Linked DNA regions of Struthio camelus. The protein of the gene in region 4 purifies or fractionates together with the protein of the main gene of each other region. This does not show direct contact. Links are inferred from orthologs where the notes say so. Each region holds a gene or a part of one and is shown on either strand. Other genes may lie near its edges.

Region 1 (6,836 bases), on a different chromosome or scaffold from region 4:
AGGTGGACCCGGGCGCCCTGAGCCTGCCGGTGGCACCCAGAGGGCTCCCCGAGGTGGACCCGGGCGCCCTGAGCCTGCCGGTGGCACCCAGAGGGCTCCCCGAGGTGGACCCGGGCGCCCTGAGCCTGACGGTGGCACCCAGGGGTCTCCAAGATGGACCTGGGGCCCCCGAGTGGGCCAGGGCAGACTGAGCCTCCGCCACCCTAGACTGTGGGGGGGGGAGGGTTTGGGGGTGCCAGGGTGGCCCTGGGTGTCACCCCGCACACGTGTCACCCTCCTCTTCCTCGTGCCCTTCCTCCACCCCCCCCCCCGGGGATTAAAGAGCTTTTTAATATCGGCCCCCGCAGCCGCCTCCTCCCTGCACCCGGTGTCACCCGTGGCCCCGGGCTGGGCTGGCACCCATGGGTGGGGGACACGCGCTGGGGGGGGGATGGAGGGGGCCGTGCACGGCCACGCAGGGACGTTGGGGCCACGGGGTGGGGGGGATAGGGACGTGGGGCACCCCAGGGTGGCAGCCCCCCCCCGCTGCACACGTGTGTCCCCGCACCCCCCCCGCTGCACACGCGTGTCCCTGCACCCCGACACACACACATGTCCCCGCACGCCCCGATGCACACGCGTGTCCCCGCACCCCCCCGCTGCACACGCGTGTCCCCGCACCCCCCCGCTGCACACGCGTGTCCCCGCACCCCCCTGACGCACACGCGTGTCCCCGCACCCCTGATGCACACGCGTGTCCCTGCACGCCCCGATGCACACACACATGTCCCCACCCCCTCTGATGCACACGCGTGTCCCCGCACCCCCGACGCACACACGTGTCCCTGCACCCCGATGCACACGCGTGTCCCTGCACGCCCCGACGCACACACACATGTCCCCACCCCCTCTGATGCACACGCGTGTCCCCGCACGCCCCGATGCACACGCGTGTCCCCGCACCCCTGATGCACACGCGTGTCCCCGCACGCCCCGATGCACACGCGTGTCCCCGCACCCCTGATGCACACGCGTGTCCCTGCACCCCCCCGCTGCACACGCGTGTCCCCGCACCCCTGATGCACACGCGTGTCCCCGCACGCCCCGATGCACACGCGTGTCCCCGCACCCCTGATGCACACGCGTGTCCCTGCACGCCCCGACGCACACACACATGTCCCCACCACCTCTGATGCATACGCGTGTCCCCGCACCCCCGACGCACACGTGTGTCCCTGCACCCCGACCCACACACGTGTCCCCGCACCCCTGCTGCACACGCGTGTCCCCGCACGCCCCGATGCACACGCGTGTCCCCGCACCCCTGCTGCACACGCGTGTCCCCGCACGCCCCGATGCACACACGTGTCCCTGCACCCCGACGCACACACGTGTCCCTGTCCCCGCACGCCCCGATGCACACGCGTGTCCCTGCACCCCCGACGCACACGCGTGTCCCCGCACGCCCCGATGCACACGTGTGTCCCTGCACCCCCGACGCACACGCGTGTCCCCGCACGCCCCGACGCACACGCGTGTCCCCGCACCCCGCCGCCGGCCCCCCGCCGCCCCCAACACTCGGCCCTTTGTGCGCGGCGCGGGCACGGGGCCCACGGCGCCGGTGGCGGCATAAAGCCCTGCCTGTGCCCGGCGCCAGGCTCTGCCGCCCCGTGGGTGCTGGGGGGGGGGCACCGGCCGCCCTGGGTGCTTCCCCCCCAGCACCCCAAAATTAGGGGGTGCAGCCTGCGGGCACCCCCTAATGCACCCACTATGAAGGGGCCCAGGCGTCCTGGAGGGGTGGGGGGCAGTGGGTGCTGGGGGGGGTCGTGCAGCACCATGCACCCTGCCCTCGGACCCCCCCACACACCCCAAAATTAGGGGGTGCAGCATGTGGGCACCCCCCTAATGCACCCGCTATGAAGGGGCCCAGGCGTCCTGGAGGGGTGGGGGGCAGTGGGTGCTGGGGGGGGTCGTGCAGCACCATGCACCCTGCCCTCGGACCCCCCCACACACCCCAAAATTAGGGGGTGCAGCATGTGGGCACCCCCCTAATGCACCCGCTATGAAGGGGCCCAGGCGTCCGGGTGGGAGGGGGGCAGTGGATGCTGGGGGGGGGACGTGCAGCACCGTGCACCCTGCACTCGGACCCCCCCCCAGCACCCCAATATAGGGGAGAACCACCTGCCCCCCCCCGGGGAAGGGGCCCAGGCGTCCGGGCGGAGGGGAAGCAGCACCCCGGGGTGCCACGTGGCCCGGCGGGCGCGGGGGGGGGGCGCTGGCCGGCAGCGGGGGCCGCGGGGCCTTGTTTATGAGCTGCTGCTGACGAAGTTTCCCAGCAGGCCCCCCCCCCCCCACGCAGGGCAGCCAGGCCTCGGGGTGACCCCCCCCCCCACAGGGCGCGGGGGGCCCAGCCAAGGGACCCAGGCGTCCGGGCGGCTCCGGGTGCCAACGTGGCCTCCGGAGCTGCCCGTTTTGGGGGTGGTGGGTGGGGGTCGCTCCACTCTGCAGGGAGCCCAGGCGTCCGGGCTGCCCCCACCCCCCCCCACCCAAGGGAGGACCTAGGCATCCGAGGCAGCACCCTTTCCCGCAGGGCACCCCGGGGTGGTGGCGGTGTGGGGGGGGTTCCCTGGCTGAGACCCAGCAGACTCGTGGCACAGGTGGCGGAGCTTGGGGGGGGGGGTTGTTCCCCTCTGACTGAGACCTGAGACCTGGCACACTTGTGGCACTGGTGGTGGAGCTGGGGGGGGGGTTGTTCCCCTCTGACTGAGACCTGAGACCTGGCACACTTGTGGCACTGGTGGTGGAGCTGGGGGGGGGGGTTGTTCCCCCCTGACTGAGACCTGAGACCTGGCACACTCGTGGCACTGGTGGCGGAGCTGGGGGGGGGTTGTTCCCCCCTGACTGAGACCTGAGACCTGGCACACTTGTGGCACAGGTGGTGGAGCTGGGGGGGGGGTTGTTCCCCCCTGACTGAGACCTGAGACCTGGCACACTTGTGGCACTGGTGGTGGAGCTTGGGGGGGGGGTTGTTCCCCCCTGACTGAGACCTGAGACCTGGCACACTTGTGGCACTGGTGGTGGAGCTGGGGGGGGGGTTGTTCCCCTCTGACTGAGACCTGAGACCTGGCCCACTCGTGGCACTGGTGGAGGAGCCAGGGCAGGGGGGCAGAGACCTGGCCCACTCGTGGCACTGGTGGAGGAGCCAGGGCAGGGGGGGCAGAGACCTGGCACACTCGTGGCACCAGTGGAGGAGCTTGGAGGGGGGGGTTGTTCCCCTTGGCTGAGACCTGGCACACTCGTGGCACCAGTGGAGGAGCCGGGGCTGTGTGTGTGTGCGTGGGGGGGGAGGTCCCCTCTGACTGAGACCTGGCACACTCGTGGCACTGGTGGAGGAGCTGGGGGGGGGAGGTTGTTCCCCTCTGACTGAGACCTGACACACTCGTGACACTGGTGGCGGATCCAGGGTGGGGGGGGGTGCACAGCGATGTGCACGTGGGATCCCGGTGCTTGCACACCCACGTGCACGGGACCCCCCGTCTTCGCGTTCGCACACCCACGCGGGAGCCCGGTGTCCGCACACCCACGCGCACCCCCCGTGTCCGCACACCCACGCGGGATCCCCGTGTCCCACGCGCACGGCGCCCCCCCACGCGCATGCGCCCCACCTGCACGCGCACCCCCGCCCCTCCCGCGCGTGCGCGCGGCGCCCCCTCCCCCTCCCCCCCCCCACCACGGCGGGCGGCGGAAGCGGAGCGGGGGAGGGGGCGTGGCCTCCCCAGACCACGCCTCCCGGCCTACAGCTCCCAGCGGGCAGCGCGCCCCTGGCGCCGCCGCCTGACGTCACGGCGCGTGCGCGGAGCGCGCCGAGGCCGCCGAGCGCGCGGGCGGCGGTGAGGGGGGCTGGGGGCGCCTATAGGGGCCCTATAGGGGCCCATAGGGGCGTCGGGAGGGGGGGGAGGTGGGTCGGGCCTTGGGCAATGTATGGGAGCGGGAGGCTCCGTGGGGCTACGGGGTGAGTGGGAGCCGGGGCTCGCTAGCGGGGTGGAGGCCCTATAGGGCTGTGGCGGGGGGGCTATAGGCTCCTATAGGGGTGTGGGTATGGCGGGGAGGGATCTATAGGGCCGTGGGGGAGGGCAGGGGCGTCGGCCGGGCCGAGGAATGTATGGGAGATGGGGCTCTGTAGGGGGGTGGAGGCCCTATAGGGCTGCGGGAGACCTATATGGGCCCCTATAGGGATGGTGGTATTTGTGGGAGGGGCTCCATAGGGCCCTGGGCCTTGTGTGGAGGCTGGAGGCACTATGTGGGCATGGAATGCGTGGGAGATGATGCCCTGTAGGCAGGGGTGGAGGCTCAATAGGCCTGGGGCACCTATAGGCTCCTATAGGGGTGAGGGCAGGTGGGGAAGAGGCTCTATATGGCCCTGGGCAGCGTGTGGGGGGCTGGGGACTCTATATGGACGTGGGATGCTTGAGAAATGGGGCCCTATAGGAGTGAGGGAGTGTAGGGGAGGCATCTCTATAGGGTGCTGGTCAGTGTTTGGGGGCAGGAGGGTCTGTAGGGACAGGATGTGTGTGGGGAGTGGGGCTCTATAGGGGCCTGGGGGATTGGTAAAAAGAGCTGAAGGCCCTATAAGGGGCTGGAGGAGCTGCAGGTGCCTACAGGGGTGGGGATATGTGGGCAAGAGGCTCTATAGGGCCCTGGGCAGCGTGTGGGGGTGGGAAGGTTTGTAGGGAAAAGGGGTGTGTGGGAAATAGGGCTCTATAGGGTCTGGGGGAAGCACAATGGGGTGAAGTATGGGGAAGCAGGAAGCTCTATAGGGGCAGGAGTACGTGGGCAAGAGGCTCTATAGGATCCTGGGCAGTGTGTGAGGGTGGGAGGCCCCGTATGGCCAGGAGCTGTGTGGGAAACGGGCTCTATAGGGGGAAGGAAACCGTGTAAGAGTCTATAGACACTACAGAGGCATGGTGCTCTATAGGGTCCTGGGCTTGGGTAGGGGGGAGACAGGAGGCTATTTAGGGACCAGGAGCGTGCTGAAATATAGAGCGTGAGTGTTGGAGGGGGTATGTGGTGGCAGGGCCCTCTATAGGGACCAGGATAGGTGCGGAGAGGTGCTGTGTAGGGGCCTGGATTGGCAGTAATAGGGAGGAGGCATATAGGGTGTCCCAGGACTCTATAGGGACCAGGATAGGTGTGGAGAGGTGCTGTGTAAGGGTCTGAATTGGCAGTAATAAGGGAGAGGCATATAGGGTGTCCCAGGACTCTATAGGGACCAGGATAGGTGCGGAGAGGTGCTGTGTAAGGGCCTGGATTGGCAGTAATAAGGGAGAGGCATATAGGGTGCCCTTGAGCTGTGTAGGGGGCTGGTGGGGGGGGCCTTGTGTGCCTGGGCTGTAGGGAGTGGGGGAGACCCTATAGGATAAGGGGTACTGGGGGTTAAACCTAGGGTGCCTATAGGGGCCAGGGGGTGCACAGTGAAGCTGGCAGAGGGGCCCTGTGTGCCTCGGGGGGGTTCACTGCGGGGGGGGTCAGGGTGCCACTGCGGGGAGGGAAAAGGGGTCACGTATGGCTGGCGAGGGGGGCAGTATGGCTGGCGGGGGAGCGGTGCTGACGCCCGCTCGCCCGGCAGCGAGGAGGCCGCGGCGCCATGGCGGGCTCGAGCGCCGACGGCCCCAACGCCCGCATGAGCGTGGCCTCGCAGTTCTTCGCCGAGGAGGAGTGCGGCGGCATCGACAGCATGAGCACCTCGGAGCGGGTGCGTGCGGCAGCGGCGGGCCCCCGCCTGCGACGTCCGCGCGGGGTCCTCGCGGGGATCCAGCTGTGATGTCCTCGCGGGGATCTGGCTACGTTGTCCTCATGGGGACCTGGCGTGGGGCTCTAGGGTCCTCGTGGGGACCCGGCACAGGGCCATTGGTCCTCGCGGGCACTCGGCTGTGACGTCCGCGCGGGGACCTGGCTCGGGGCTGTTGGGTCCTCATGGGGATCCGGCTGTGATGTCCTCACGGGGACCTGGAACAGGGCCATTGGTCCTCGCGGGCACCCGGCTGTGATGTCCGCGCGGGGACCTGGCACAGGGTCATGGGGTCCTCATGGGAACCCGGCCGTGATGTCCTCACGGGGACCCGGCGCGGGGCCGTGGCGTCTTCGCGGGGACCTGGCACGGGGCTGTTGGGTCCTCATGGGGATCCGGCTGTGATGTCCTCACGGGGACCTGGCACAGGGCCATTGGGTCCTCGCGGGGATCCAGCTGTGATGTCCTCACGGGGACCTGGCACAGGGCCATTGGGTCCTCGCGGGGATCTGACTGTGACGTCCTCGTGGGGACCTGGCACAGGGTCATGGGGTCCTCATGGGAACCCGGCCGTGATGTCCTCATGGGGACCCGGCGCGGGGCCGTGGCGTCTTCGCGGGGATCTGGCACAGGGTCATGGGGTCCTCATGGGGACCCGGCTGTGATGTCCTCACGGGGACCCGGCACAGGGCCATTGGGTCCTCGCGGGGATCTGGCTGTGATGTCCTCACAGGGACCTGGCACAGGGCCATTGGGTCCTCGCGGGGATCCAGCTGTGATGTCCTCATGGGGACCTGGCACAGCGTCATGGGGGTCCTCATGGGGATCCAGCTGTGATGTCCTCACGGGGACCCGGCACAGGGCCGTTGGGTCCTTGCGGGGATCCGGCTGTGACGTCCTTGCGGGGACCTGGCATGGGGCCGTGGGGTCCTCCCGGGGACCCAGCTGTGACGTCCTCGTGGGGACCTGGCACGGGGCCGTGGGGTCCTCGCGGGGACCCAGCTGTGACGTCCTCATGGAGACCTGGCACGAGGCCATGGGGTCCTCATGGGGACCTGGCTGTGACACC
Region 2 (6,821 bases), on a different chromosome or scaffold from region 4:
AAAATAAAAAGGCTTCCGTCTTCCTCTATCTTAAATGGTAGCATGGGCGTTCCCTTTCATTCATTCTTTCTTCTCTTTCTTCCTATTTACAAGCTATGCAGAACCAGTCCCAGTCTACATACTGAAGGATAAAACACATTGCTTCACTGGTTCTTACAGTGGCATTTTCTGGTCTCAAGATGACGGCCTGGCCTGCTAACACACATGAACGCTGGAAGCAGACAAGCAACGTATCCAGCAGCGGCAGTTGGGTGTTCAGCCTTGGGAGAGGCAGTCGTATTTCACTGCCAGTTGACCACAGTCTCATCAGCAAAACTATTAAAAACAGCTAACAGATTTAAAATAAGTATATAGCAAACATTTAGTTCCTGTTTGCTCATCAGTACAAGATTTGGCTCAGAAGCATCTCCATTTAAGAACCACAAAAGAAATCCTTCAAAGCCTCAGCTCTATCAAAAGCCAGCTTCATTTTATTAGAGAATACAAATCCTACTGTAATGTTTTACTTTTTCCATAACTTTTTTCCCCCTACACAATGTAATCACATCTGGACACTAGCTTTCCACCACAGCAGCATTTGGTAGCTTCTAGCTTTCTAGCCATCTAGCTTTTCCATCTACTGTCCTACTACAGAGAATTGTCCTGCAGCAACTGCAGAACCAGTTTCTCCACGGACTTTTAAAATAATCAGAGGGTTTGTTCATTCAGAAGTTTTAGGCTTTTTTCAGGATGGTTTAGCATTAACGTTTTCAGCCTTTCTTCTGCAGCATCAACATCAGTTGATGTTTTGCAAGAGCTAAGTAAGCTAAGAACAGATGAGAAGACTGGAAATAGCTTTTATTACCCTTCTGTTGCCACTGATACCTTATGTCAATCCCCCTCGATCAAAAATAAAGACGGCAAAGAAAAATTTACATCCTGTAACAGCAAAACGATGGCATGAGAAAAACATTAGTCGATTCTACATTATGCACATGCTTATATCATGATGCCATAAGAAGACACGGCTCAGAAAAATCTAAGCTATGTTTACTTCAACTGCCGAAGCTTAAGCCCTGTAACATGCAACTGCATGAAAAGCAAACAAAGAAATCCAGCATGCAGCTCTGGTATTATTAGCCACATCAGCAGTCACCGCCTGCTACAGCCACTCCAGAACATGCCTCTGACAAGGAGTTTTACAAAGGCCACAGCCAATTGAAAAACCATCACTCTGCCACTTTTCTTCCCTTTTCACTTCCAGATTTAATGAGCACCTAATTTCTGTACACAGCAGCGGTTATTTTCATGCCCTGCCCTGAAGTAGCATGGAGGAAACCAAAACAAACAAACTTTACCAACTACTAAAGGAGAATAACTCTCCTCTTATATACTGAGGCCAAAGTGCTGTCTTGGCTTCAACCACAGACGGGCAGAGAACGCACTCAGAAAATATGCTATTAGCAACTTAGTAATTGGGAAATTCAGCTAGGTTCATGATTACCATGGAACTGGTGAACTACAAGAGTAAAACCAGAAGGAGCCTCGAATTTCTCCTTTTCCATATAACCTTTTAAAACGATGAAGCGATGCACTTGGGATACCAGTATAGAGCCAAGAGGACACAGAAAAGAAGTTCAGGAATCTCCCCTGAAACCAGGACTTATTTCCTCCTCTCCCCACCTCCCTCCCCCATCCAAATCCGAGCAGGGAGAGAGGTTTAGCATCCCACATCCAAATCTCCTTGTCCGAGGCTGGCAAAGGAGCTGCAGTTAAAAAACAAGGTCAATGAAGTCATTTTAATTGCATCACACAGGAAAACCCATTCTGTCAATTCCAACTTTATGACCAATTTCTAATAGCAAACGTAATTGAAAACTTATTAACCACAGCATATTGTGCCTACGCTGGCCAAACGGTTATGTCACGCACGTCAGTTAAAAATAAGGTTAAGCGAGAGAGAGACATTTTCATTCCAGGTGTTTCAAATCCAGAAGACAGCCACGAGCTCTACCTCCCAAAATGCTCTGCATTCAGATACCTGCTGCAATCACGGAGGCTTTCAGCTAAGTTAAACAGACCTGCAAACAGGCCTTTTGACAAGACTTTTCTTTAAAGTAAAGTCCTAGTCATTTCTGAACTTTTTTTTAAAAAAAAAAAAAGAGGAAGACTGGTATTTTGCAGTGCATTTCAGCTGAGAAGTCAGGTCTTCAAAATCAATAAATTAATTGTAATTATTGTGATTTCAATCCAGACAAATGCTACAGAGGCAAACAATCTGTGTGCGTGCTTCACGCCAGCTCCCAGTGTTTTTAAGCCGAGCAGCTGGGGAAGAGGAACTTTCCACTAAAACAGTTAAATTCTCAAAAACAAAACAAAACAAAACAAAACCAAACCCCCCAAAACAACAAAAAAAGCCCCCAAACCCCTGCAAGGAGCCAGGGCCAAAGCTCCGCAAGGCAGAGCACCTGCCAGCAGTTCTTTACAGCAGATTTCCTCCTCAGCACCCCAGAGCCCAAGGGGGGACCCCAGACCCCTCGCCAGCCCCCCCGCAGGGCCTGAGCCAGCGCTCCCCGTTACCCAAACGGGCCGCGCACCGGCAGGCCGCCCTCCCGCCCCACCGCGCCCCCGGGGCCGCGCCGAGGCCAAGCCGCAGGCGGCGGGAGCAGGAGGCAGCCCACGCCCGGGGCCAGGCGCTCGCTCACGGCCGGTAACTACGGCCTGGCGCGAGCAGCGCGGCCCCGGGCAGAGCCCCAGGCATCCGCCCTCCCCAACCCCCACGAGAAAGGAGGCAGCTCGTGGAGCGCCGTCGTTCCGCTTCAGAGTGAACAGCGGCGCCGCGGTTGCAGGCAGCGGCCCCGCTCCCCCCGGCCCCCCCCGCCGCCGCCGCCGCCGCCGCCGCCTACCGAGTACATGGGCGCCCATCGCCGCGCCCGCCCAGCCGCCGCCGCCATGGTGCTGCGAGCGCTGCCGTCGCGCCCCCCGCCCGCCCTACCGCGTCGCCGCGGCCTCACAACTGCCGCTGCGGCCGCCGCCCGCGGCGCCCATGGCCCCCCGCGTCCCTCCGCGCCCGCCGCCACCGCCGGGGCGGGGCCGGGGGCGGCGCCATCCCGGGCGCGACGGGAGCCGCGCGCGACCAAACTTCCTTCCGCCCGGCGTGCCGGCCATGGCGTCGGGGGAGCGGTGCCGCCGGCTGGCGGCCGTGCTCGGCGCCCTCTACGACCTGGGTGGGTGAGCGGGGCGCCGCGGGGCTCCTTGGGGGCGGGGAGGGGAGGGGAGGGGAGGGGAGGGGAGGGGAGGGGACGCCGCCCTGCGGCGGTGGCTTTCTGTGTAAACTGGGGCTGCCCCCACCGCCGGGGCCGGGCCGTTCACTCTGAAGCGGAGCGACGGCGGGCGGGCGGGCGGGTGACGCGCTGTGTGCTCCGACGCGCAGGTGACGAGAGCGGCCCGGAGGAGGCGCAGGCGAGCGGCGCGGCGGAGCCGGCCGTGCCCGAAGGCGGCGGCCGGGCGGGCAGGAGGCAGCGGGGCGGCGGCGCCCGCGGCTTCTTCAGGGAGCTGCGGGCCGAGCTGCGCGGCGCCGAGCCCGGCGGCGGCGGCGGTGCCCCCCCGCGGCCGCCCGCGGCGCCGGCGCTGGAGGTGGTCGTGTTCCGCGGGAGGAAGAGGAGGGCGCGGCCGCCCCCCGGCGGCGCCCAGGTAGGGTCCGGCTGCGCGGGGCTGGGAGAGGGGGGCCCGGAGCCGTCGGTGAGGCGTGCGGGGGTATCGGCGGGTTGGACCCTTTGGGAGCCCTTTGCGGAGGGACCAAGCAGCGGGTTGAGTCCTTTTCCCGGCAGATGGCCCTCTTTTCTCTCAGGGCTCAGAGCTGTTTGGTTTCCTAGCTCCTGTAGCAAGCGGCTGTGGAGCCCGCGCTGGGTTTTTCCCACTTTTTGGTTTTTTTCCCTCTCTTTCCCTAGGGTACAAGCTAGGCCCCCTGGGAAGTTCCTCCCCAACCTGAGAACTGCTGATGGAAGGTCTCCACAGAAATTGCTCAGCAGAAAAGACCTTTTCACTGATGTCGTTTCGCACGTTTAACGCTGGGTGCCGGCTATTTTGTTGGGCCTGCCCTTTGTTGGCAGTGCTTCCTTTGGAGCCTTTTCTGTTGCGTTAATTAAGTAGGATGCGTGCCTTAATGTATTTGTATACAGTTATGGAATAACTGTTGTTCTATATGTTACTGCCAACTGTCAGTACATACACTAGTACCTCTGCTCTGCGTGAAACAAAATGACTTTAAGTTCATGTCCTGCCCTGCAATAGCAGTTTTGGTACAGGTTTAGAAATGGCAAATGTAAGATGCATAGCTCACATGCAATAGTTCTTATACAAAGTGTAATTTAAACCTGAAGTTTCAAAAACTAATTGCAGCTATTAATTTGATTATACTGTATCTTTCTCAGTTATAAAACTCTTTGTGTTAGCAAATGACCTAAGCAAGAAAACGCTGAGCAAAGCTCTGTGCTTTAATGGTACCCTGTGTATTGTGCAGGGTTGTTCCAATAAGACCCTACAATAGCTACGTATTAAGAATGCCATTGAGACCTTCTTGTTTTTAATAAATCAAGGTCATAAAGATGGGAAAAGATCCTGCTGGAAAGCTGTGTTCTCTTCCCTACTACCCATTTTAGCGTTTCACTACTTTTTGAAAAACGATCATAATAAGCATTTACATTGGGGTTGCTTGTTATATTAAATGGAAACGTTTTGTTTTGTTTATAGATCAGAAAAGTGGCTGAAGAAAAAAACGTGAACAAACACGAATTTAACTTTGAAAAAGTAAGTCACCAGAATCTAATCTCAACGCTTTAGTGTGCAGGTGGCTGTATTTATGTGCTTGGGAAAGCTACAGCGGGACCAAAGAGAAACAATTCCAGAAAAGGTTATCTTTCGCAGGTGAGGATTTCCTAATACATAAGTTTGGCTGCATGCCGTTCTGGAGGAGTGTGCTGGCTGTTGGGAACAGCTCTTTACGAACAGAGGCATGTTACAGCTCTGTGGCCTTTATTTCTGATTTTTCAGTGATAATTTGAGGAGGATCATTGTGTGTTAGGTGTGTAAAGTGTGTAAAGCTATGTGGGTACCCATAATATATAGCGAATGCTGATTTAGGCCCATGATGTTAATTTTGGTATTTCTGATCTCGCATGGCGGGGGGAGAAGCGTATTGGTATATATTTTTCAAAGAGCAGTTGGTTTTTATTTTTTCATTTGTCTTTTGGTTCGAAGTTGTTCTTATAGAACTCACGTTAGGCTTCTTAGATAGTGAATTGGTTTCAAATTTGTGCGGGTTATTTTATATGCCTGACCCCTGCTCAGGAAAGTGATGTGATCCAGTGAAATCTGGTGACTGGGTGTGGCGTTCTCTGCTGCTGAAAACAGTGGGGATTTAATCGCTACCTTGGAAAAGGTTACGAATTCACCACCGATTCTGCCAAGGTCTTCCTGTGTATTGTGAACGAGACATCCTGTGTAGTCAAACCACTTCAGCATCTGCACGTCCAGGCTTCTCACTGGTGAAGTGCTCTGTGGTCAAGTAATGAGAACGCTCTGTAAACGTTGGGTGTTGTTGGTAGCGTGTTTTATTGTTGTTCTCTGTGCAGCACTATGATTCATTTTAATACAGAATAGGTCTTTTCCACGTGTTCAGTTTTATGTGAAATAAGGAGAGTCAAATATTGTCACCCAGACATCCTCACTGTCCAGAGATGAGACAGTGGTTAACCGTTTGGCAGTATAGGTCTAAACTCAGTGAGTTTTATTTTGTACTTTCAGGTACTATCTGAGGCTTCTTTGGGGGTACAAATTTGTTTCAGTCTGTCAAGCGTTGTTTCACGCAGGTTGGACAATTATAAAATGCTTTCAGTTTTCTGTAATGTTTTAGGCTCGTTTGGAAGTGCACAAGTTTGGAATCAGTGGCTATGAGAAGCAGGAGCAACGCATGTGGGAACAGGAACGTGCTATCATGCTGGGAGCCAAGGTAATTGTTGCTTGTTTTGTGGCAGGAGATGACCCAGCTGTTTTGATACAGACAAGTAGTAAAAAACCACAGTGGGCGTTTGGCCCTAGTTTTTTAAAAAGATGAGCTCTCCTTCCTTGCCCCTTCTGTGACCTCGTCCTTATTTTTCCTGTTTCGGCCCTATTTTCTGTTCAGTCTCACCTGTTTTCTGTAGAAATCTGGAAAACTAGTACGTTTGTGTTATCAGAGATGTTGCTTAGGTGAAATAAGACAGATTGGGATGAAAATCGACATTTATTTATTTTTATTCAGACCATCCAAACCTAAACGACTGGAGGAGGGGCTTTCTTGTTAAGCTTTCTAAAGCTTCACCTTCCCCAGCAAGTTAAGGACAGAGAAAGGTTTTCAGTTTTATTTACCGTCAGTAGTGTAAAGAAGACAACAGAGTAGAAAACGTGTTTTTTTTTTTTGAGATGGGTTTTTTTTAAGGGCTCTGTGTATAGGAAACCTTATAGGCCTGTTACCCCCATCAAAATGCCCCCAACTCTATTGCCCCCATCAAAAAAAGACATGGTTTCAGTGTGATCTACCTTATATCCCTCTAGTCACTTCCATTCCCCCTAAAGGGAAAAAAATGGGTTTTTTTTCCTTTTTTTTTCTGGAGGGCAGGAGTTGTTTGTTGCTTGGTTGGTTTTTTTTTTAACCCTCTGTGAAAAATAATTTCCGTGCAGGCATGTGTATATTTGATGAACCTATTTGAACATTTCACCAGTGATACCACTCCTGATCTTTATTGCAGCCCCCCAAAAAAGAACATGTGAACTACAAGACTTACCAAGAGAAAATGAAAGAG
Region 3 (7,798 bases), on a different chromosome or scaffold from region 4:
TTCCAGCCCCTTCCCGCCCATAATGAAGTAGCGGCTTAATTAGAAACGAGCAGCGTCGTTACAGTACTTGGTAGCGGAAACGCTCCAGGTGCAGGAGAGGTGTCTTTAGCAATGGCACAGCGGGACGGCTCCGGGCGGCAAGGCGCCGGGGAGCTGCCCCGGAGCCAGGGGACAGCCGAGCCCCCAGCGGGACAAGCCGGACGGGAGGCGGAGGTGGGAAACGGCGCACGGACGGGCTGTATCCCGCCGGCAGCCCGCGAGCCTTCCTCGCTCTGGCCTCCAGCCTGGGCCTCGCAAACGGCACGGCAGCTCGGCGGGCGCCTGGGACGCCGCCGAAACGGCAGCGAAACCTGGGGCTGGGCCCCGGGAGCGAAAGGGAAGAAGAAGAGGCAGGAAAAAGTCCGTGGCAGCAGGCTCGCGCTGCTCCAGCAGCATCGCCCGGAGGCCGGCCGCCCCGGGGCCTCCTCGCGCCCGTCCCGCGCCGCGCGGGGCCGGCGGCGCCCCCGGGGACCCGTGCGGCTCCTGCGGCAGCAGCCTGCACGCAGCAAGCGGAGTTGCTCGCTCGCCCGCGCGCGCTCTCCCTGGTTTTAGCCCTGAACGGAGAGAGGTTTTGCAGGCGCCCGGCTCTGCCTTGGGCTCCGCAGTCAGTCCAGTGTCTCCGTTGTAAACCCTGGGGGGGTCCGATTCTGCCCTCGGCTCTCCGGCACGGTGCAAAAAGCTTCTCCGTTGACTCCCGCGGAGCGACGCTGGGTCTGTACCGGCGGAGATGAGATCCGGATCTGGCCCTGGGTTTTGAATGGGTTCATAACGTGACTGATAACAACTTGGCTGATCCAATTCATTTTGGGCTAAAACTCCACCGACAAGTTCCCAGCCTGGGAGACGTTAAAGACAAATCATGATGAAGTTTGGTACTCTTCTTAAAGGGAAATCATCGGTTAAGCCCAGTTCTTAAAGAAGACCGATCTTGGTCTGGTTGACCGATCTTTCCCCTTTCGGGGGTATTTTTTTACGCTGCTGGCCGAAGCTCCGGGCAGGAAACGCGCGGCGCTCCCTGCGGCCGGCTCCCAGCTCCACGCACGGGGCCGGAGCCGGAGCGGGAGAAAAGGGAACAAACCGAATACCCAGCCAGGGTCCGAGGCTAGCGAGGGGGCCAAAGGCACAAGCACGAAGCAGCGGAGCAGCCCTGCGGAGACCTGCCCGCGGGAGCCCAGCGTCCCCTGCCCTGCCGGCCTTGCCCGGGCGGCGCGCGCCTGCGGGTCGGCCCTCCGGGACGCGGCGGCGGCGCGCTGCGAGCGCGGCTGAGCATCCGCAAACCGCCGCAGCCGCTCGCCCTGCCCGCGCGGCTCCCGCTCCGCTGCGGATGTTGACTTTCCTCCGTGCGCTTTTCCTTACGTGTGACATGGAAGGGGCTTTTAGACCGACTGTTTATGGCTGCTCCAGACGTAATGGAAACACGGCGGGCAGGAGCTGCTAAGTACTAGGACTGTAATTGCAGGCTGCCACTGGATGGGAAGCACATTTCGAAGCGGCTTTTTGGCCGCTTCCTTCAGTGAGAAGCGCGGAGCACCCAGGCTGGGAAGATCTGCCTTTCCCAATTTCAGCTGAAGCCCAAGGAGGCTGCAAATTCTCGACATTTCTGCAAATGCGAACTGCCCTCTGTTAACAACAGGTTCCCTCAGGCAGGAGGCCTTATTTCCTTTCAGGAGTCCAAATCCAGATGGTCAGAGATTCCTTCCAAGCTCAGAAAAGCTGTTTTAAAAGGCTATTATGCCTCAATAGCCCTTTTTGCATCCCAGACCATTGGAAATGCCGTCTGCCGTCTGTTCCTCCCTGTATTTTTCGAGCCTTCTCCAGTCACCCAGACAAACGGTGGTCTCTGCAAGCCGCCTTTTATTTGGGGGGTGGGGGAGCAGGACGCCGCCTGAAACCGGCCTGTTTGTTCCCGCTTTTGGCTTTGCAGCGGGAGGGGAGGCAGTGCTCAGCCCCCTGCCTGCACCCCCCTGCAGAGAGCACGAGCAGGCTGATACCCTCTGTGTTGCAAACTATTGAAAGGAAAGAGATGCTTTAATTAAGAGTTGCGCTGGCAGCTCTGACGACTTTTAGTCGACTCCAGATAACTAGCACAGGTTTGCTTCAGCTTCCAGCAGCGGCTCAGAGCAGCGCCCAGCCGTGCACCCAGCACCAGAGTCCCTCTTTGCCAAGCAACAGGAAAAACAACCAGGCAGGATGCGTGGGATACGCCACGCTCAGCGGCCCTGCAGGCGCCTCGGTGCAGGGAGGGAGAAATCCCCGCGAGGGTCCACAGCGGGGCTTTGCACCGCCACCATCAGCTCTCCGAGCCAGACGGAGCCACCTCGCTGAAAGCCGAACGGACGCGTTCTTACCAGCGCCTTTCGATTAGCAGGCGGAGGAATTCCTGCAAAAGGGCCTGGAAGCGTTTGCTGGGTGCTGGGCGGCAGGGCCTTGGCTCTCCCGGTGCTCCTGTGCGAGGAAGTCGTCTTCTGCGGCCCCCCCGGGCCGGCGCAGGAATGCAAAGTAATGGAGGTGCAGGCCCTCGAGGAGGGGAAAAAAAAAAACGTTACAAACACTAATTAGGGCTTGTGCGTGCACAGATGTTACACTGGTTTAACTTGAACCAGGTTGCAAGCCCAAACGTAGGGATAGAAACAGGATTAACCCTAATTTAAGGTTGCCAACACCCAAATGTTGCACCAGTCTTGTTGCACCCGTGCAATAGTGCAGCTTTCAGTCTGACTGCAGCATTTCATATGCTTCTAAAAAATGTGGGGGTGGTCGGGTTGGCCTGCGTGAAAGGGTGGTTATTTATGCTCCAATCCTGTGCAACTCAAAAAATGCACATACCCCCTGCCCCCTCAAATGACACAGTCACCCAAGGGGTGCCCAAGAGCTCTGCCTCGTGCTTTGCAGGGCCGCTGACACCCCCCTGGGCACTTGCTGGCTCCGCACGGGCAAACCCCAGCACCCACGAGGAGGCACCCCGACTTTGCCGTGCGTCGACTTTGGGTGCTCTAGAGGCGATCAGCTGGAGCGAGGAGGGTCCTGTACAGGAGTGCACCGACCCTGCTTGGGTACCCCCACTGGCCCGGGGGGGTCCACGCTGCTCAGGGGTGCATGCACCTTGCTGCCTTGGGGAGGGTCCCACCTCCCCACCCCACCCAGGGTGCAGGCACTGCAGTGCATTGGGAAGGGTCCCACACAGGCTGGGGGTGTCCGCACTGCCCTGCGGGGCCTGCACCACCTGAGGGTGCATGCCCAGCACTGCCTGGAGGGGGGGTACCCTTATCACCTTGGGGGTGCATGAAGCACACTACCTTGGTGGGGTACGTGCCACTGCTCAGGTGTGCATGCCCTGCAATGACATGAGGGGTCAATAGTGCTTGGGGGTGTGCATGCACCACACTGCCTTGGTGGGGTGCATGCTGCTCGGGGGTGCATGCCCTGCACTGATCTGGGAGGGGTCAATAGTGCTTGGGGGTGCATGCACTACACTACCTTGGTGGGGTGCATGCTGTTTGGTGGTGCATACTGCTCGGGGGTGCATGCCCTGCACTGATCTGGGGGGGGGTCAATAGTGCTTGGGGGTGCATGCACTACACTACCTTGGTGGGGTGCATGCTGTTTGGTGGTGCATACTGCTCGGGGGTGCATGCCCTGCACTGATCTGGGGGAGGGGGGTCAATAGTGCTTGGGGATGTGCATGCACTACACTACCTTGGTGGGGTGCATGCTGTTTGGTGGTGCATACTGCTCAGGGGTGCATGCCCTGCACTGATCTGGGGGGGGTCAATAGTGCTTGGGGGTGCATGCACTACACTACCTTGGTGGGGTGCATGCTGTTTGGTGGTGCATACTGCTCGGGGGTGCATGCCCTGCACTGATCTGGGAGGGGTCAATAGTGCTTGGGGGTGCATGCACTACACTACCTTGGTGGGGTGCATGCTGTTTGGTGGTGCATACTGCTCAGGGGTGCATGCCCTGCACTGATCTGGGGGGGGTCAATAGTGCTTGGGGGTGCATGCACTACACTACCTTGGTGGGGTGCATGCTGTTTGGTGGTGCATACTGCTCGGGGGTGCATGCCCTGCACTGATCTGGGAGGGGTCAATAGTGCTTGGGGGTGCATGCACTACACTACCTTGGTGGGGTGCATGCTGTTTGGTGGTGCATACTGCTCAGGGGTGCATGCCCTGCACTGATCTGGGGGGGGTCAATAGTGCTTGGGGGTGCATGCACTACACTACCTTGGTGGGGTGCATGCTGTTTGGTGGTGCATACTGCTCGGGGGTGCATGCCCTGCACTGATCTGGGGGAGGGGGGTCAATAGTGCTTGGGGATGTGCATGCACCACACTACCTTGGTGGGGTGCATGCCGCTTGGGGGTGCATGTCCTGCACTGATCTGGGGGGGGTCAATAGTGCTTGGGGGTGCATGCACCACACTACCTTGGTGGGGTGCATGCTGTTTGGGGGGTGCATGCCCTGCACTGACCTGGGGGAGGGGTCAACAGGGCTCAGTAGTGCTTGGGGATGTGCATGCACCGCACTGCCTTGGTGGGGTGCATGCTGCTCGGGGGTGCATGCACGGCACTAACCCGAGGGGTCGATACCGCCGGGGGGGTGCATGCCCTGCACTGACCTGGGGGGAACCCGCAGCACTTGGCGGTGCATGCACCGTCCCGTCCCGTCCCCCTTAACGGCCGGCGGGGCGAGCCGCCACCTTAAGAGAGTCCCGCCCCCGGCGGCGGGGACCCGCCCCGGCCCGGCCCGGCCCGGCCCGGCTCGGCGCGGGTTGCCATGACAAGCAGTTTCTCCCGCTAGCGCCGGAGCTGCCGCCGCCCTCCTCCTCCTCTTCCTCCGCCGCCCCATGGCCGCCCGCGGGGGCTCCGCCGCCAGCCGGGCCGCGGCGCCGCGCCGGTGAGTGCGGGGCGGTGCAAGGGGGGGGGGGAGGCGCTGCCCCGACCCGGGCCGCCCCGCCGGGAGCGGGCGAGTCCCGGGGCTTCCCCCCCCCCCACCCCAACCCCGGGGCAGAGGTGCCCGGGCGGCTCCCCGCCGTGTCAGCCGCTCTCCCGCGGGGCAGGGGCTAGCCGTCGGGGCGCTGCGGGGGCGAGCGGGTGGCGGGGTGCCCCGGCTGGCCGCGGCCCAGTGCGCAGACGGGGAGGGCAGCCGGGGCGCTGCAGGGCGCGCCGGGGCGAGGCTGCGCTGCGCTGCGCTGCGCTGCGGCGGGGTTCAGCCGCTGGCAGGGAGGCGTGTGCGAGCAGCGGCGTGCTGCAGGTGGGATGCGACCCCCCCCCCCCCCACCTCCTCAGCCGGCTGGGTTGGGGGGCACGGGGAAGGCGGGCGGAGACGTGCCCGAGGGCGCAGTCTGCAGCGGTGCCGGCGCCGGGCGCATCCGGCAGCAGCAGCAGCAGGTGGGAGGCAGCGGTGAGGGTCGCGCTGGGGGCGTTGCATCCTCGCCGCCGCAGGGGACCTGCGACTTGCGGCCCGCCCTCGGGGGACGCGGCGCCGAGGAGCTAGCCGTGCTCGGCGCTGTCGGGGGGGCAGCGCTGCCTGGCCTGGCCTGGCCGCGGAGGCGGGAGGCGAGCGCTGCGGCTCGGGCGCCGTCTCCGCGCTGCCGTCGTGCCGCTGCCCGGAGCTGCAGCTGGGCACCGAAGGGAAGGGCAGGCGCTGCGACGGGGGGGGGGTGCGTGTGCGAGTGTGGAGGAGGGGGAGTTACTTGCGGCAGCCCAAGGACAGGCTGGGGGAGGAAAGGTGTTTGCAAGGTTGGCTCTTGCGTTTCCCTAGGGGGGCAGGCGCCCGCCTGGAGCGCAGGGAGGCTGCCGGCCCCGGCGGGGCGGGGGAGCCGGATCCGGCCGTCGGTCGCGCTGGGAGCGCAGCGCCCGGGCACCGCACCGCGCCGCACCGCGCCAGGCGCGTCCCCCCTGCTGCCTGCACCAATCTGCCCGGGCAAATGCACAGCGGGGGGGGGGGGGGAGAAGAAACCAACCCCCCCCCCCCCCAAAAAAAAAAAACCCCAAAAAGCAACGAAGCGCTGGCGCACACGGCTAGCGGACGGGGGCCCTTGGCCGCTGCCCGCGCCCTAGGCCGGTCGGCAGCGCTGCGCCCCGTCGAGCATCTGCTTTGAATCCGCCCGGGGGGACCTGGGTGCCCGGGCTGGGGGCGGGGGGTCCCACCTCGGCCCCCCTGCGCCCGAGGGGGCCGCGCAGACCCTGGGCGCAGGGTGGTCCCTCCCTGTGCGGCCGGAGGTAAGCCTGGAGCTTGAAAGGGGGAGGGAGGGACAATAGGTTATTGTCCTCTTATCTCTGGAGAGCTGAGGTCGGGTGGGGGGGAGGGTGGGGGTCGGGTTGCCGAGCTCAAAGCAGCGCAGCCTGTTCCTGCCTGGCGGGACGGGACGGGACGGGGCGGAAGCCAGCGGCCCTCGGGGCTGCCGACCGACGAGGGGCCCCGCGTCCCCGAGGGGGCCCACCCGCTCCGGCGCGCCGCCCTTGCCTCTGCCTGGCTCCCGCCGGTGCCCTCAATCTTTTGCTTCCTTGAGCAAACTGAGATGCACCTGAATTATTTAGCCACGAGCGAGAGGAGCTGACGCCCCCCGCGCTCCTCCCGTCCTGGCCGCCCCGGTCCCCGGGGAAGCCCAGCCGTCCCCACCGGTGGCGGTGGCGTGGGACTGGCGCTGGCAGGGCCACCTGGCCCGGCCGCCCCGGGGAACGGAGCACCGAGCGCGCTCTGGGTGAATGAACGGGAAGAGTTGGGTGGTCCTGGAGGCCTCCCGAACGCTGCGTGCCCTTCGGTTCCCCAAAGCCCGTTCAAAGCAGTGGACTGTGTGCTTGGGTGTAAGATTTTTGCTGTTGTTGTTGTTCTTGTTTGTTTTTTCATTTCTGTTTCTTCTCCCTGCCCAGTGCCCGGCCAACCGTGCCGGTGTCGAGGCGCGACGGAGGAAGCGCCCGTGCTGGCTGCGTTCCCGCCGCCTGAGCGGAGCGAGGCAGCGCCCGGCCGCGGCAGCGCGCGGGTAGCCGAGAGCCCGCTGCAGAGCCACGCCGCGCCGCCCGGGGTTGCGGGTGCCGCGCTGGGAGCGGCTCCTCCCGAGGAGGCTGGAGGGACCTCTGGAAAGCGTTGGCTCCCTCCCGGAGGGGGGGAAAGGAGTTTCTGGCCCTGGGGAGGTGGTGCAAGCGCTGCAAGTAGTGGCTGGAGAGGGCAAAGGGTGCTTTTCTGGGTGCTTTTCTTTTTTTTTTTTTGGAATGGCAGGAGATGGTGCTAGAGGGAATTCCCCGTGCTGGCTCGCAGCCGTCGAGGTGCGCCCAGCCCGCCCCGGCTCCTGCAGCGCGCCGTGCACCCTCGCCGTTAGCGTGCAGCAAGGCGCAGCCCCGCGCCGGTGCGCGAGCAGCTGGGACCTGCTGCCACGAGGCCTCGCTGGCGCTGGCAGCGGCTCCCGGAGAGGCAGAGCAGGGCCGTAGCGGGGCACCGGCCCTCGGGCAGGGTGAGTAAGAGCGGGAGGGACAGGACGGGGGCGAGCCTCGGGCTCTGCCATTGTTTTGCAGCAGAAAGAAGCAGGGTGGAGCTGCAGACGGGAGTTCCCCCCCACGCGCCCCGAGGCGCTGGGGAAGCGGCCGCCTGGGAGCGGAGCCCGCGCCTCGCTCCACCCGCGGCGCCCTGCACGCTCCCCGCTAGGCCACGAGCGGAGTTTGCCGGCTGGGCAGCGCCTGCGCCGTCCGGGAAACTCCCCGCCGCAGGAGCCCCCGGGGGGTCGCGAGGGGCTGGGGCCGCGCGGAGCCCGGCGCTGA
Region 4 (7,353 bases):
GCCAAGCCTTTGGTCTCAGTCTGTAGGGCAACAGTCTGTAGGGCTATAATGCTTTGGATGGTGGAGTACTAGGTTAGATCACTTCACACTGGTTTGCTAATCCAAATGTTACTTCTGGAAAATGGCTGAACTTAAAAACACAAAAACCCCCAATCATGTAGCTGCTTATTGGTCATCTGTCTCTTGAAGTCCAGCATTCTCTCTGGGCAGTTGTAGAGACTTGTCTCTATTTTACTGTGCCTTTTGAGGGTGTCTCTTACCTGAGCTTTAGCTCACCCTTATTTTGTAGGGGTGTTATTGTTCTGAGATCCTCTAATGGTAACAGAGTTGTGTTGGTCATTGAAGTCCTGCTTTTGGCGAGTGTGTAACAATGCTCTATTTTTGCTGAAGTAAACATAATAGCGGACTGTAAGGATTTTCCTTACCTCTCAGCTGTGTTTAACATTAGACTTCCATCTAGAGAGCAGACTTCTTGAGAGATGTTCCTTTTAAACTGCACTGTTAAAACTCTTTGCAGCTTGCAGCAGAGAACAATTGCCTAAGTTGTAGAGGCCCAAGTCTGTAGGTAGGTGCATGCTTGGACTCTGCTCTCAGATCATGAGAGGACAAAGTATTCCGACTTCCTGAACTGACTGAAAGCACTTGCCTTTGACTTGGTTATTTAGTGATTGCCTGGTTATATGAAACTTGAGAGAGAGTAGGCTTTATAGCTATTAGTGGAAATGGCAATAAGTGTCAGAGCTTCATATATCCCCTTCCTACGCTGAGAAACAAAGGTCATGCCATGGATGAGTGTACCCTGCAGGAAGACACAGGTTTCTGCCAGGTTTAACTGCACTGAGATCTGTCTGTGCTTGTTGGGTGCTGCGAGTGCCATGAGAGCTCCTCCCTCTGCTCAGTGGGGAGAGGTTGTTTTTAGTTTGAAGGTGACTCTAGAGAGTGTTATCTGGTCATGTCTGTCTTTGCCACTGTCCAGCTTGATCGAATACTGCCCGGTCCCCAGGAGAATTGCTCAGCTCTGTGATTGGCTCTGTTCTGTGAGGAATGCCTGGCTTTTGTGAGCTGATTTCAATTTCCAGCCCAACACCATTTGAAATCGTTTGAATGCCTCTGATCAATTCCAGTGGGTTGATGCTGGCTGTACTGGTATGTCCTAGGACTCAGCAGGTGCTTTCCCCAGCCTTGAGCGTCCGAGACTTCGATTAGTCTGCTTTGTGTTGGAAAAGCAGAGAGGGGATATTAATCCCATGTGAAAAGGGAATGATACTTGTTATTTTTATCATTTGAATTCAAGGGTGCCTAGAGAGGCTCAGCAGATCCACATTACTATCTGAGCTGTGCATGAAGTGCCTTCTAATTTGGAGCAAGTAACTTTGAAATATCTTATCAGTGCACTATAATCAGCTTGTATCTGTAAAGGAAACCTTGATCACTAGCAGCTCCCACTTTAAATCAGGCTTCAGTTAAAATGGGACTGATTTTTACAAATACTGTAGTCAATTCTGTGACTTTCAACATTAGGTGATTGGGAGGGTTAAATCACAGGCTTGTGATTTAAAAACTAAACTGGCATGCAAAATTGTCAGGAAACTCACCCACCAAAATACAGCACAGCTTATCCCACACCAGTATGAGTTTAACCTTGGTGGGCTGTTTAACTTTTTTCTAGCTGCTTAACAGGATTCAACTTCTAATATGTTCTAGAAGTGAAGCTCAGTGTGTGAGGAAGTTGCGATTAATACTTCCATATTTCTTTTAGAACCCCTAGTGACCTTTTTAAAAAAAAAAAATCAGGAAGATCATTCTAGTGTATCTAGTCAAATTCTGTAATACAGAGTCAGTTTGAGGCTTTAAAAACCTCTGCCAATATATTACTGAATGGTGCATTTGTGAATGTAACAGTTGATACTGTTGTTAGTACGTGAAATGGCACCAGACTTCTTTTTTAGCCACTGAGTTATTCTCAAACAGACCTCTGCTTCAAAATATCTCAGTTTTAATTATCAGCCTTCTCTTAAAACTGTCTTGGTCTCAGGTGAGAGTCAGCTCTCTCCTCCCTTGTCCAAACCTGTCTGTTCTTTCAGACTTCTAAAGCTTCAGAGTGTAAGGCTAAATTTTCCTTTGAGAAATGTTTAAACAGTGGAAATTATTTATGTAGGCCTCTGAAAATTACCTAGCAAACGTCTCTGTTTTGCTTGGATTTGAGCAAACTTGGTTTTATAATGCTGATTTATTCCCACGCTTGCAAAAAAAGATTTTTTTTATTAAAATGTCTTTGGGCATTCAAAAACAAAGAAATCCCCCAACCCACCTCTCTTAAGCCTGTATGACATGATACGTGTGTGGAGGGCATCTATATAATCAGAGCTTTCTTAATACTTATTACTGAGTAAGTTAACTTCTTGGAATGACTCTTGGTATGGTAGATACTTGGCAGGTCTACTGTTGGTGTCTGAGTAGTGCAGTCTGAAATCAGTGTACAGGAAGTGCATGTTGCAAAGTTAAGTAGCTCTGCTTAAATCTTGCTGAAATTGAGTCACATAAGTAACCTTGACGCAAATATGATGTCTTTTCCTGAAATGCTGTTGCTAGAGACTTCCTTCCTGCCCCCCCGGGGGGAGGGGGGAGAAAGCCCTGCTTGGGCCTTCTCCTCCCATCTGTCTTGTAATGATTTGGACAATCTTACATCTGGGAGCTGCTGCTCGTAGTTGATAGTGCTGCATCTGGCTAATAGCCCTAAAAATGGTTGGCAGCTCTGCTTTCTGCAGTGCACTGACTTATGGCTTTACCTTTGAACTGTCTGTTTTCAGAAGTTGAACCCTCTGGACTCTGAGCACAAGAGCAATTTGAAAAATACTGTAGTTTTAGCCTGTAGCTGTCTCTCATGTTTTTTTAATCTGTGTTATTAATTTAGCTTGCCTGGGATGAAGAAAGTATAATTTCGTTGTTTGTATTACAACGAATATTACAGATTTCTTAACCTGGCTTGTGACATCTTGCAGACTGCAAGATGCTCTCAGAAATTGCAGCTGTCTTGAATATTGTATTTAGAAGTATCTGACTTGCATCTTAGTGAGCAGGATGACTAAGCAAGCATGTGCGAACGTGAAGGAGAACAGATCTTGCAGTGCAATGAAGGCTGGCAGATGAGGCAGGCAAATGGTACCATAAGTGTAACAATGCCCAACATCATCTAGTCACCACGTAGTGACAGGATGAGTGCCAGGCTCTGGCCAGGTCTCAAATGAGATCAACTGACTTTGGGCGCGTAAAGCTCAGGGAGGGACTGACATGCCCCTCTCTGCGGGCGAGTGGGGAGCTATGTCTCTGTAGTGTGAACGTTTGTATGCACAAAATGTTCTGACCTTCAGTGTGTCAGAGTAGGGAGGCCAGTGTAGGATTGCTAGTTCACCAGGCTTGTGTGGCTGCTTTCTTTGTGTCCTTTTTACAGTGGAACGCATACTAGATGATGCTGTCTTGCTGCTGCCAGCCTTTTACTGCAATATGCAACAGAGATTTTGGCAGACCTGTGGACCTCCTTTTCAGAATATAGCAGATACTAAAATTTTGGGGGGACAGGAGAGACTGGATAAGCTGTTGGAACAAAAATCCATTGAAGTTTACATCCTGAGCTGAAAATGCTTGGAGACAGGGAGGAGTGTGAAAGAAGTATTGCAGGCGTGTCTAGCTCGTCGCCTCTGGAATCTGGGTACTAGGCTAGAGAGATACTTGGTCCGACCCAGTGTGAGCATCATGTTTGTAATGCAGACTGTGACAGAAAGGATGCAATTCAGTGACTGCTGGTTAAGTAGCTGATAACTAACATCACAATGGAATTCAATCAGTATTGCAAATAGGCTCTCTGTATTCCCAGACAGAGACCATTGAGCAGAACTTAACCAAGGTAATGAGGTAACAATGATCAGGGCTGGTAACTTTGAGCTTGAAACTTAATTCTGTGGCTGGAGTAGTTATCAAACTTCCACTGACGCAGCTACAGCCCACTGAATGCAATTCTTGAATATCTGGAACGTTATCATTGTTCTTTCTCTTCCTGCCTCGTATTTCTCTGCTCATGCAGCTAGTGTTTGTAAGTGTGGCTGTTCTGCAAGCTCTGGTTTTGCATCAGAGTGGCGAAAAGTGTTGTTGGCTGTAGACACGGCATGGGGCAGTTGACTGTGTAGCTGGAGATAGCTTATGGATTGTAGAGGGGAGGGAGCTGGGAGAGTATGCTACTCTGAAGAGTTATGTTCCATCTTCTCAGTGGCTGAAATTTTTTCCTTGTAGAGGTTGAATTCTTGCTTTGCACTAACACTTTGCACTAATACCTCTTCAACTCATAGCTGGTTTTGTAAAGTCACCGCTGTCTCAAAAGAGACTGACTCAGGACAGCGTCGAATTGTACTGCGAGGCAATTGGCAATCCTATTCCTGAGATCCAGTGGTGGTTTGAGGGAAGCGAACCAAATGAGACCTATGCTCAGCTTTGGGATGGTGCACGGCAGGACCGTGTCAAAATCAACGCCACCTACAACCTGCACTCTACCAGTACCATCTACATCGCAAACCTCTCAATCGACGATTCGGGCATGTACGAGTGCCGGGCTAGCAACGACCCTGACCGCAACCACTTGTCGAAGAGCCCCAAAGTCAAGTGGATCCGTTCCCAGGCTAACGTTTTTGTCATCGAACGTGAGTGGCCATACTGAGGCCTTGGCACTTGCTCGGACACTGATGTCTTGAGTCTCTTGCCATGCTCACCCCTGCACCTGTGTCCTGTGACTTCCTGAAAGTTCCCTTCACCTTCCCATCCTGGCTGTAGAACTGAGACTCCTACCCTCCTGTGATCTCCCTCACCACCTGTGACTTGATCCGAAGTGGCCCTGCTCAAAAAGGGTTGTGACTTCCCAACCAAAACACCATGCAGCAATCCTATACCTTTTCCAGAGCCCAAGACAGTAGAACATACTGCTTAAGTGCCTCCGTGTCCTAGTGCCGGCTTGCAGAATTAAGAATTTTGATTCTGCTGGTAGACTCTGCCTTAACCACCACTGACAAACCAGCCCTGCCCTACAGCTCATTACAGCTTCTGCTCCTGTGAACGTCTTGCTTTAAGCTCGCTTTCTTGCTAGTGTTACAAGCTGTGGGGATCAAAATCTGCTTTTAGTTTCTTGTGAAGCAACCATTTTTGAAATGGCCGTGTCTGTGTGTGACACTGAATGTGATTAAGTTGCTTGTACTGTGGAAGTGACCAGACTCCCTCTACTTGCAGAGCTGAAAGTTGAACTCTTGAGCTAAGAGGCTGCTTCTTTCCCAATAATAGAAACCTGAACTAGTTTGAGGGAATTTAACATCCTGCTAAGATCCTGTCGTGAATCCTGAAGTTAATGGAGCAAAATTACTAACATTTTCCTCAGCTTAAATGTACTAGGAAATACAAAGTTCCAGCAGATTTTTCTTCCGGGGGAATTTGTTGGGTAGGAGGAGAAACAAAATGCCTTTCAGCCCTGTGTAAAAATTATTCCTTCCAAAAAAGTGCAAATGGGTGGGAGGGTAGGAAACCTAAAGTGTCACAGGGCTGTATAATGGCTCTACTAATGACAGCTATTTTCTTGGACTTACCTCTTACAAGTAGAAGTGTCTGAGTAATCTTATGTTGCATAATGGAGATCTAGGACCTTTTGGAATCATGGCTACATAGGTTCTCATTGGAATAAATATAGCTATAAATTCTTGAGCTGTATCAGGTGGTGTGCATATTGCTTGCATACTGTCATATTTGTTGCTCCTGACGAAAGTGTCTTGACTGCTGTCCTCAATTATGCTACCTGGAGATGTTCAGATCTGCTCAAATTCTGGAAGGTGCTAACATGCAGCGAGTGCTAAAATGGTTCATGAAACCCTTCAGTGTGACCTTTTTCATTGCTTATTTGAGCACTTAGCTCCATTGCAATATATGAACTGCACCCATTGTAGAGATAGCAGGAGGCTCAAAACTGTTGAGTGCATGGCAGTGATCCTGACCGTGGTGGTAGCAGCTGTAGGGTCAGTATCCTATTGTTGCTAAGTGCCATCAGGCCCTAGTCATCGGGCTTTCAACTCTGTCCTGTGCTGGTATCATCAGTCCTGGTAGGAATCTGATTTAAGAAGGTAAGTAGAAAGCTATGGTGGAGACAAGGAGCTGTATTTTTTGGGAAATATTTGCCTTAAAGGTTCTTGGGGAGGTGTATAACCTCTGGAATAGCACATGTTAACTTCAGCTGAATTTACAAATGCAGGTCCAAACATCGTAACTCTCGTAACTGTCAATTCTGGCAAACTGGTCCTCTCCTGTAACATGACTACGCCTTACGCTTCCATTGAGGGCCATGAGTGGATGAGAGGAGACAAGATACTTCAAACGGACACGGAATCGAATGCTTTCACCAGTTACACGTAAGTGTCGGGGGCAAGGCCAGATAAGAATATGTCTGTACGCAAGGGACAGTTATTTTACCAGAAACGGCTAATGTTTCATATCAGTTGAACCTAAACCGAAGGACTGTCACATACAGTCTTGCATAAAATATAAACTTTGGAACTTCAGAACATGAGCAAAATAAAGGTTTGCTAAGGCCCAGCATTTCCTTTTTGGGGAGGAGGGGGCAGAAAGGAGGAAGAAGGGAAAGTGAATAGGCCACCATGCCCTCTTAATAAATTGAAAAGTACTGCTACTTAAAGTTTTCCTGCCCATGTTCTGCCGGGCTAGGTGAGTTTCTATTGGATTCAGCAGCACCAGGTAGGTGCCAGGTGGCTAGGGCTGCCTGCTTGGCTGGCCTGCTGTCTGGAGAACATGAGCACTTGGCTTTCTGCAGCATTGACATCAGTGCAGTGAGATGTTTTCCCAGAGCTTTAAGGATCTGTGGCTCTGGAAAGGAAATGAGCTCTCTGCTCCCCCAGAGGCCATGTGTGGAACAGGAGAAATGTTATCTGTACAGTTGGCTTTTATGTATGTACCTCAAGTATACTTTCAAAGTCTAGCCTGTCCCTGTAGAACAAGCTGAGTAGTTGCCTGCAAGTTACAGTTGGAAACTGTTTCCAGGCTGTAGCTGAGCAGAAACTGGAATACCAACCTTATTGTAACAGTGCAGTGAGCTTTCCACTTTGATTACAGTCAGGCCTGGCTGGCACTGGCCCAGCAGCTGGAGAGGCATCATGTCCTTTTGTGTGGCTGTGCCGACGTGCCTCTCTCCCCATAGCAACAGGGAGCTGAACAAGGATTAAAGTATTTATAACCCAGCCTCCCTCGCGTGACCTCAATTCCTTAGCTGAGTGGTTTTTGGGAGTGGGAAGCTCCATGCACAGCAGAGCTAAC

Evidence for each region.
Region 1: the proteins of BSG (region 4) and SYMPK purify together in Homo sapiens (co-immunoprecipitation; 3 studies listed by BioGRID and IntAct, counting the BioPlex papers as one, with this or other methods). This does not show direct contact. The link is inferred for Struthio camelus from reciprocal best matches to the Homo sapiens genes BSG and SYMPK.
Region 2: the proteins of BSG (region 4) and GNPAT purify together in Homo sapiens (affinity purification with mass spectrometry; 3 studies listed by BioGRID and IntAct, counting the BioPlex papers as one, with this or other methods). This does not show direct contact. The link is inferred for Struthio camelus from reciprocal best matches to the Homo sapiens genes BSG and GNPAT.
Region 3: the proteins of BSG (region 4) and ATP2B4 purify together in Homo sapiens (affinity purification with mass spectrometry; 3 studies listed by BioGRID and IntAct, counting the BioPlex papers as one, with this or other methods). This does not show direct contact. The link is inferred for Struthio camelus from reciprocal best matches to the Homo sapiens genes BSG and ATP2B4.

The regions. Positions count from the first base shown.
Region 1 is NC_090957.1:1,740,737-1,747,572, forward strand, and holds the start of SYMPK (symplekin), read left to right. Parts: upstream 1-3,821; 5' UTR 3,822-3,869; intron 3,870-5,605; 5' UTR 5,606-5,623; coding exon 5,624-5,731; intron 5,732-6,836. UniProt on the Homo sapiens protein: Scaffold protein that functions as a component of a multimolecular complex involved in histone mRNA 3'-end processing. Specific component of the tight junction (TJ) plaque, but might not be an exclusively junctional component. May have a house-keeping rule.
Region 2 is NC_090944.1:92,212,961-92,219,781, reverse strand, and holds the start of GNPAT (dihydroxyacetone phosphate acyltransferase), read right to left. Parts: upstream 3,018-6,821; 5' UTR 2,934-3,017; coding exon 2,886-2,933; intron 1-2,885. Other genes in the region: FSAF1 (uncharacterized protein C1orf131 homolog), read left to right, coding at 3,146-3,206, 3,413-3,672, 4,732-4,788, 5,894-5,989, 6,768-6,821. UniProt on the Homo sapiens protein: Dihydroxyacetonephosphate acyltransferase catalyzing the first step in the biosynthesis of plasmalogens, a subset of phospholipids that differ from other glycerolipids by having an alkyl chain attached through a vinyl ether linkage at the sn-1 position of the glycerol backbone, and which unique physical properties have an impact on various aspects of cell signaling and membrane biology.
Region 3 is NC_090965.1:6,585,807-6,593,604, forward strand, and holds the start of ATP2B4 (plasma membrane calcium-transporting ATPase 4), read left to right. Parts: upstream 1-4,790; 5' UTR 4,791-4,937; intron 4,938-7,798. UniProt on the Homo sapiens protein: Calcium/calmodulin-regulated and magnesium-dependent enzyme that catalyzes the hydrolysis of ATP coupled with the transport of calcium out of the cell. By regulating sperm cell calcium homeostasis, may play a role in sperm motility.
Region 4 is NC_090967.1:7,635,589-7,642,941, reverse strand, and holds the start of BSG (basigin), read left to right. Parts: upstream 1-4,349; 5' UTR 4,350-4,588; coding exon 4,589-4,691; intron 4,692-6,277; coding exon 6,278-6,434; intron 6,435-7,353.